Canis lupus familiaris: one gene and its partner. The protein of the gene in region 2 purifies or fractionates together with the protein of the main gene of each other region. This does not show direct contact. Links are inferred from orthologs where the notes say so. Each region holds a gene or a part of one and is shown on either strand. Other genes may lie near its edges.

Region 1 (3,645 bases), on a different chromosome or scaffold from region 2:
ACTCTCCATCTTGATGCAAGGAAGTGAGGTGGGTTACATAGTGACCGTTTCAAGTGAAGTTCTAAATGAAAAAAAAAACTATTGGATCATTTGAGAAAAAATAAAAGAATGTATTTTGAAGGTTACGACAAGGAAGGCCTGCTTTCTAAGATAGCGGAAAATCTGAAGGAAGAGATTGGTAAGTGGTTTTGTAGATGTGAAAACCTTTGTGCGACCAAAACCAACACAAAGTCGGAAAGAAAAGTGACATTTAGGGAGAAAGTATTTTCTGCCTGTGTCACTGGCCGTTCATAGTAAGACTAGAGGTTTTGGTAAACTCTGGAAAAGCCGTGAGCCTCCCAGTGGAAAGTGGACGGAAGGGGTGAGCGGGTCCCAGGTGAGGACGGGGTGTAGATGGCCCAGATGCCAGCCTGTGGGCTCCCAGGGGCACGACGAGAACCGGGGCATGCTGTGGTGAGGCTCGGCGGCGACAGGCGGCCCCATGTCCCCCGCCCTCAGGCGCGTCCTACCCGGGTATGTGTCGGGGCTGCCACAGGCTGAGTGGCCAGCAGATTGGGGCGTCGCCCGCCGCCCAGGTAGACCTCGAAGGTACCGGGTGTGCGCCGTGATCGGGGGGCTCCATGGCTCCGCCTTCAGCCGCCACTGACGTGTGTTCCTCTTGGCAGGTGCGGGTCCTGGCGGGAGCCTGTGCATCCCTACTACGTCAGCTCCGGCTACGCCCTCGCCCCGGCCACCAGCGCCAATGACAGTGAGCAGCAGAGCCTGTCCAGTGATGCCGACAGCCTGTCCCTCACCGACAGCAGCGTGTGAGTCCCCCCTTGGGCGTGGGCCATGCCCACCGCGTCGTGTGCCCCCTGCACCCCCACCGGCATAGCCGGGCTGCATCATTAAGGATCCGGAACTTGCAGCAGCTGCTTGTCTCTGAGGCCACGGCTGCTGGCACCTTGGAACGGGGGGAGCTGTCAGGGGGCTCACCGTACAGATGGGTGGCCGAGCAGGGCGGGTGGGGCGGCCCCCGGCCAGGCCCTGCTGTGCACAGGTGCCTCGTGCTCCGTGCCTTTCTGTCGTTTGAAATTTTGTCCCTGTCACATACTCTGCGTAGGACATGGGGAGGCAAGAGCTAAGGGCACTGGTACGGCCGGTCCTGTGCAGGGATAGCGCAGGGCCGCACGTGCCCAGAGGCCGTGGGAACCATCCAGAGCCACCTGGAGCTTCGTGTCCCCCAGGGATGACAGTGCACCTAACTCTTCCATCGTCCTCTTGATGGGAAAGTACCTATTTTCTGACACTCTCCTTTGCTTTGACAGGTGGCTTTTGGGGACCCAAACGCACATCACAAGTTTGATGTAAGACACTGTGTCGTTATATCAGGGCCTTACCCAGCCAGCCTGCCAAGGTCATTCGTGGTCCTGGCTGCCCGCGAATGTCACATTCACCCCGTTTTCAGTCTGGGTGCCATCCACCATCTGACTGCCGCTGCCGGGAGGTCCCTGGCCAGGGCCCGAGCAGGTGTGCGGTGTCCCCCGACCCCCACTCCGAGACGGCAGGGGGCCGAGGGCCAGGACTGCGCAGGGGTGGGAGCAGCCGCTGTCAGCTGGCTGCCTGTGGGGCGGCGGGGGCGTGGCTTTCTTCCCCAGCCAGCTTGCTTCCTCATGGGAAAAACCGTGGACAATCAGGATTAAATAAAAAAGGAAGGGTCACTAAACCTGTAGAGAAGACATCATAAAATTGTGGTCCCACTTCCTGTGGGGTTTTCACAGTCGGTGCCTCCTCTCTGCCTGTGTCCCCATGTTCTTCCCGCCGCCAGACAGGCCTTTTCCCAGCCACAGCAGTGCGCCCCCTGTCGCTGCGCATCTGGGGCACGCACCTTCTTTTCCTCTTTGGACCCAAGCTGGACCCGTCCCTTCAGATTGAACTTCTGTGTGTGGTTTTTCTCATTCGTTACCCTTTGTTCAGGTAAAATGTTGACGTGTTTAGCAACTTCTTATTTGAAATGGCTGTGTTTTCAGCAGTACCTGCCACGACCCCCACCAGCAGGTGACGGCTCGGGATTGTGCATTTGTAGCATTGGGTTTTCTCTTCCCTGAAACTGATTACTACAGTGAAAATCCATTTGTCCGCGCACTTTTTCTCGAAAAGTCTCTTAATTCTTTCACAGAAAATGACATATGGTTCCTAAATGAAAGATTTGAAGTTTCTAAAATATGGGATGCCTGGGTGGCTCAGCCATTGAGTGCCTGCCTTTGGCTTAGGGCATGACCCCAGAGTCCCGGGATCGAGTCCCACATCGGGCTCCCCTCAGGGAGCCTGCTTCTCCCTCTGCTTGTGTCTCTGCCTCTCTTTGTGTGTCTCTCGTGCATAAATAAATAAAATCTTTAAAAAACAAAATAAAATAAAATAAAATAAAATTTTATTTTATTTATTTTTTTAAATTTTTATTTATCTATGATAGTAGGCAGAGGGAGAAGCAGGCTCCATGCACTGGGAGCCCGATGTGGGACTCGATCCCGGGTCTCCAGGATCGCGCCCTGGGCCAAAGGCAGGTGCTAAACCGCTGTGCCACACAGGGATCCCAAAATAAAATTTTAAAAATATTTTTTTCCTGATAACTCTATCTTGGTTTACACTAAGATTCAGAAATACAGGCATAGTTGATTTGGAATGTAAAATATTTGAATATATATCAAGCAAAAAGTAGGATTGTGGGTTTCATCTAAATTATCTTGTAGCGGGCACAGCTGCCCTCAGCATGCCAACCACACAGTAGAGACGGTGGCTCACTGCACTTTGTGCACGGGTGTCTAAGGACAGTGTCTAATCCACAGAGGCATGTGGAATGTTTAAATTCCTGGTCAAAGCATATAAGAAACAAAAATTTGGTGGCCCTGGACACTGGAATGGAACTCCAGGGGCATGTAAAGATGTTTTAAATGCATTTGACTCACCTGTTCCTTGACATCTGCCCCCTTGGGTGCCCCTGCCAGGCTGCTGAGCCAGTCACATTGCACACCAGCTGGTGCCCTGACAGCCAGGGACACTGAGGCAGTGACAGGAGAGACAGGCTGTCCTGGATTCTTCCTCCCTTGCTCTGGCCCAAAGTACACCCTCCCCCTGGATGGAACCCCTGAGACATGTGATTTTAGGGGGAGAACATTACTTTCCTGCCTGCCGACACAGCCACTGAGCTGCTGGGTGTGAGGCGGGGCCAGGACATCCTGGGCACCTTGGGCGGCAGGTGGCAGCTTTACTAGGTTGCACAGCAGTTAATGAGGTGAGGTCAGAATTGTGGCTGCGTGGTTGACCCCTGCTGTCAAGTGAGAGCAGCACTGTTGCCCAGCCGCCACCCTGGGGCCGTGCTTGGGAGGGAGGCCGGGTCGCAGATCTTGACTGCAGCCCCTGGGGAACACGGAGGCCGAGGCCTTCCAACAGCCAGACGACCTAGACGAATCCGTTCCCGCCGTCAGAGCTGGGAGCCCACCTGGGAGTCCTTGGGTGAGGAGGAGACGGGCCTGGGAAAGCCACTGACCAGGCGTCTTCCTCTGGCGGGCGTTGTCCGTCCTGTTGGCTCCTGTGAACCGCTGAGCTTCCAGAGGCCCTTCACGTAGCAGGGGAGCACGGGGAGTTCCAGGGATGGCGCATGTGCAG
Region 2 (4,243 bases):
ACCGCCCGCTTCCCCAACCTGACTTCTGCTCCACCCATCTTAGTGATGCAACACACCTGGCGCTCTTTCCCGCCCTAGACCTCAGACAGACCCCATCAGTCGCTTCAGTCCCTCATTGGCCAGCGGGGAGCACAGGGGAAGGGAAAGGGCCTTCCATTTTGCTCTCTGAAACTACCCACTCCGGTTCCCTGGTCTTCTCATAGGCCGTCGGGAGAGCAATGAGAGCCCGGAGCTGCCGCGCACGCGCGCGGAGGAGCCCGCCGGAGGCGGGGCACTTCCCCTTTCTAGCAGGAGCATTCATCGCGCTGTTGTGACGTAGCGGCGCGCCGCTCGCCGTCCTCACTTACGATTGGCTGTGGCAGAAGCCCGTCACACAGCCACGCCCCACTCCTCAGCCTAACCTCCCCCTTCGGAGCCCGCCCGGGAGGCCACGCCCCACCCCGGTCCCGCCGCTTAGGCCTGCGATTGGCTGAGGGAACCGGCATGGTTACCCGCCTCCTACTCCCTCCCCGAACGTCCGAGGCCGGCGGGACCCCGCGGAAGGGGTCCGTCAATCTCCTCCTTCCCCACCCCTCGCCAGCCCCTCCCCCGGCCGCGCGCACACGCACACGCACACGCACACGCGCACACTCTGCCCGCGTCCTGCCCCCTCCCCCCGCCCCTGCGTGCGCCCTCCGCCTTCTCGAGTCGTTAGCGGCCGCTCGCCGGGGCTTGTCCGTGGGCGGCGGAAGGGCGCGCGGGGGAGGGCGCTCGGACCGCGCGGCGCCGCGAGGAGCGAGCGTGCGCGCCCAGAGCCCCGCGGCGGGTCACCGCCCCGGGAGATGAGGGTCCGGCGCTGACGGGGAAGAGCGGGCACCGCGGCGGCGGCGGCTCGGAGGGGCCCCGCGATGGCAGCGCCTCGGGAGGAGGCTGCGGGCAGGGCGGGCAGCGCGGGCAGCGCGGGCAGCGGCCGCTGAGGGGCCGCCGGCCGCAGCGCGGGGCTGAGGAGGAGCGAGGCGCGCGCGGCGTCCGCACCCCCGCGCCGTCGCCGCAGTTGTCCAAACTTCGGGCTCTCTTCCACCCGCTCTCCGCGCCCGGAGTCAACAACTTCTTCACCCCCCTCCGTCCCCGCCCTCGCCTCCGTCAGCCCCGGGAGGCGGCGGCCGCGCGGCGGGGACCAGGAACCGCCGGCCCTGAGATGTGGCCGTGAGGCGGCGGCGGCGGCGGGCGGGCGGCGCGGAGAAGCTCGGCGGCGCCCGGGAGCCGGAGGGCGGCGCGGCCGCGGGGACGGGGACGGGGCGGAGGGGCGCGAGCTCCCCGCGCCTCTCCCCCCGCCTCCTCCTCCTCCTCCTGCCGCTGCCCGTTCCCTGCACGCAGCAGCCGGAGCTGCCAGGCGCCAGGGCCGCGGCGATGTCGTCGTCGTCGTCGTCGCCGCCGCCGCCGCCGCCGCCGGCGGGGGCTGCCGGCGCCGCCATCTCGGCCTCGGAGAAAGTGGACGGCTTCACCCGGAAATCGGTGCGCAAGGCGCAGAGGCAGAAGCGCTCGCAGGGCTCGTCGCAGTTCCGCAGCCAGGGCAGCCAGGCGGAGCTGCACCCCCTGCCCCAGCTCAAAGGTAACCTCCGAGGGGGCCGCCCCGGGGCGGGGGGAGCGGGAGTCGCGTCCCTCGCGTTGCCTCCCGGCGCCCGCGCCCGCGCCCGCATCCAACAGGTTTGCTCTGCAGAGTTTGCTGCAGATGCCAGCCCCCTGCCCACCTGCGCGCTCGCTCACCTGCGCCCGCGCCTGCAGCTCTGCGGCTCAGCCCCCGCCGGGCGGCTCTTCGCGCCGGCCCGGGGCGCGCGGCGCGGGGGGTGGGGGTGGGGGTGGGGGTGGGGGCTCCTCCAGCCTGCCCTGCCCTGCCCTGCCCTGCCCTGCCCTGCCCTCCGAGACCCTCCTCCGCTCTTCCGACGCTTGGCACTGCCCCTTTACTGCTTCAGTCGGCCGGGCGTCTGCGCGCACCCTCGCCTCCCCTTGCCCGCGGAGGGAGCGACCCCAGTTGTCACAGCGAGCGGGCCCTCGGTGGCCGTCCTGCCGCAGACCGCGACGGGGAGTCGGCTGCCCGGCACACCCGCTCCTGAAGAACGGGCGTGAAAACCCCACTCGTTCGTGCAGCGCCTTATTTGCTGGGTCGTTTAGGTTCACGTGGTATCGTTAACTCCGAGAGTGGAAAGACTCCGAATACTTCGTTGCCGGGGAAGATATAGACATAGATACACACACGTACACGGTAAAGTTGGGGAAGTTGCAAAAGAGTCCATAAATCCAGTCGCTTTGCAGCGGATTGGGAACTTGGTTCGCGAAGCAGGGATTCCAGGGGACCGCGTAGGTCTGGACAGTGATTCAGATTCGTGCCCGCGCGCAGGGCTTTGCAGGAGAGCTTGGCGCTCCTCGGCGCGCGCGTACTTTTCCCACAAGGGCTCAGGGGACTTTTAATAAAATGTTTCCCGGTGGTCTGGTTTATTCTTGGTGCGTTATTCTCTTTACATTTTGTAGTGTTCGTGTCTTCGCTTCTCTGTGAGAGAGAGAAATTCGCTCGGAACGAGAGGATAACCCTCCTAGATATTTCAGACAACTCTTAGCACAAAAGAAACCTGATAGAAATCTAGATCCTCTGTTTTGCGAGGCCTGGAAATTAAAGGCTCATGCTAAAATAGAATCGGCGGTGAGATTTTTCGATCCGTTTCGCCTCCTTCAAGGATAATCTGGTTCTGATTTGTCTTTGGACCTCGCCTGAGTCTGGCTAGGAGTCTAAAGAAAACCCCAGATCGAATCACAGTTGACCTGCGATAGATCTGGAACCCCGTTCAGACCCTATACTGCCCTGTCTTTTGGGGGTGCTTCTAAATCAGGGACCTCCACAGCCAGAATCCAACTAGCTTTTGAAAGGTTTTATTGAAGAAACGTGTAGCGTAACGTGTGTGGCTGCATTTATCGTTTGCCATGCAGCATGCAAAAATGGTTAAAATTTACATATCATAGTCCTTGGTAAACCACAGTGGTAGGCATTGCCAAGATTTTAATTCTTGAGTGATATCATAGCTATAAAAGAATATCGTCTTACCTGTTAGGACATTGGATTGCTATTCATGGATTTCAGTTGTAAACTTAATTAAAACGTTTTTAAGTCATTGATTTTTTCCCATTAAATTGTGGAATTTCTCATAATCGGAAGTTTGCTGCTAGTGTTTTTCATATTTATTAAATTTGCTTTTTTAGTAAGGTATTGTGGGTCCTTACTATTGTCCTTATTAATGCATTTACTTTTATTTAATAAAAATAGTTGCATATTAAACATGGTTAGGAGATGGAGTTTTAATGCAGTTTTTAAAAGCTTGACAAAAATATGCAGAGCCAGTAATCCTTTTAAATTATATGGTGCATAGTTCAACAAGTTGAAGGTGCCATTGAGTTTTTGTTTTTTTTTGTTTTTTTTTTTTTTTACAGTATTTGGTCACTAGTGGAGAAAAAATAAAATTGGAACTTTAGATTAATTCTGCATATTTAACATGAAAATACAGTGTTCTTTAAAAGGAAAGTTCAGGTATTCGAGGTAAATTTATGCAAATATAATTGTGGAAATAAGACCCTTACTGGGATTACCCACTAATAAGAGCTACTTATACTCCAAATGCCAAAAGGCTTGAAAAGTGCTTTTAAAAAAAAAAAATCCAGTTTCTTCACATGGTACTTGGCAGTGTGCTTGATACCACAAAGTTGTGTGCTTTTTTCTGTCTGTAGTAGTTTTTTCCATTTGTGGTCTTAACAAAAACCAGTGGAAAACCCTTTAGTATGTGTATGAAAGAGAATTTTTCTTCCTGCTCTGAAATATAATCTTCCTGTGGAGAGATTCAGATATTTGTGGGCAACCAAGATCTTTCAAGTGTTTATACTAACCTGCTTATGTTACACTTTGTCCACATGGATCTAAGCTGGAAAGGTGCCAGCTATTTTCCTCAAAGCTTACTATGGGTAAGGATTAACAAAATAATCCAACTTTTTCATCTATAAGAAGTTTATTTGTGCAAAATCATTTACCAAGTAGGTTGCAGGATTTTAATAGGGAAAATGTTCAGAGAAAACTATTTTGTTATAGAAAGTTTTTAATAAAAAAGCCTTGTTAAAAGGATTTTTTAAAAAATTAGGACCTGCCATGTGGGTCCTGAAAATTCAACTGCCTGATTTGTATAGCTTAAAAAATTTTTTTTCTAAGCATTTTTAAATGTTCTTG

The links. The genes of interacting proteins can lie anywhere in the genome.
Region 1: the proteins of PPP2R5A (region 2) and AXIN1 purify together in Homo sapiens (affinity purification with western blotting; 3 studies listed by BioGRID and IntAct, with this or other methods). This does not show direct contact. The link is inferred for Canis lupus familiaris from reciprocal best matches to the Homo sapiens genes PPP2R5A and AXIN1.

The regions. Positions count from the first base shown.
Region 1 is NC_049227.1:40,663,595-40,667,239, forward strand, and holds part of AXIN1 (axin-1), read left to right. Parts: intron 1-665; coding exon 666-806; intron 807-3,645. UniProt on the Homo sapiens protein: Component of the beta-catenin destruction complex required for regulating CTNNB1 levels through phosphorylation and ubiquitination, and modulating Wnt-signaling.
Region 2 is NC_049228.1:10,355,201-10,359,443, forward strand, and holds the start of PPP2R5A (serine/threonine-protein phosphatase 2A 56 kDa regulatory subunit alpha isoform), read left to right. Parts: upstream 1-1,374; 5' UTR 1,375-1,389; coding exon 1,390-1,591; intron 1,592-1,746; exon of another isoform or gene 1,747-1,818; intron 1,819-4,243. UniProt on the Homo sapiens protein: The B regulatory subunit might modulate substrate selectivity and catalytic activity, and might also direct the localization of the catalytic enzyme to a particular subcellular compartment.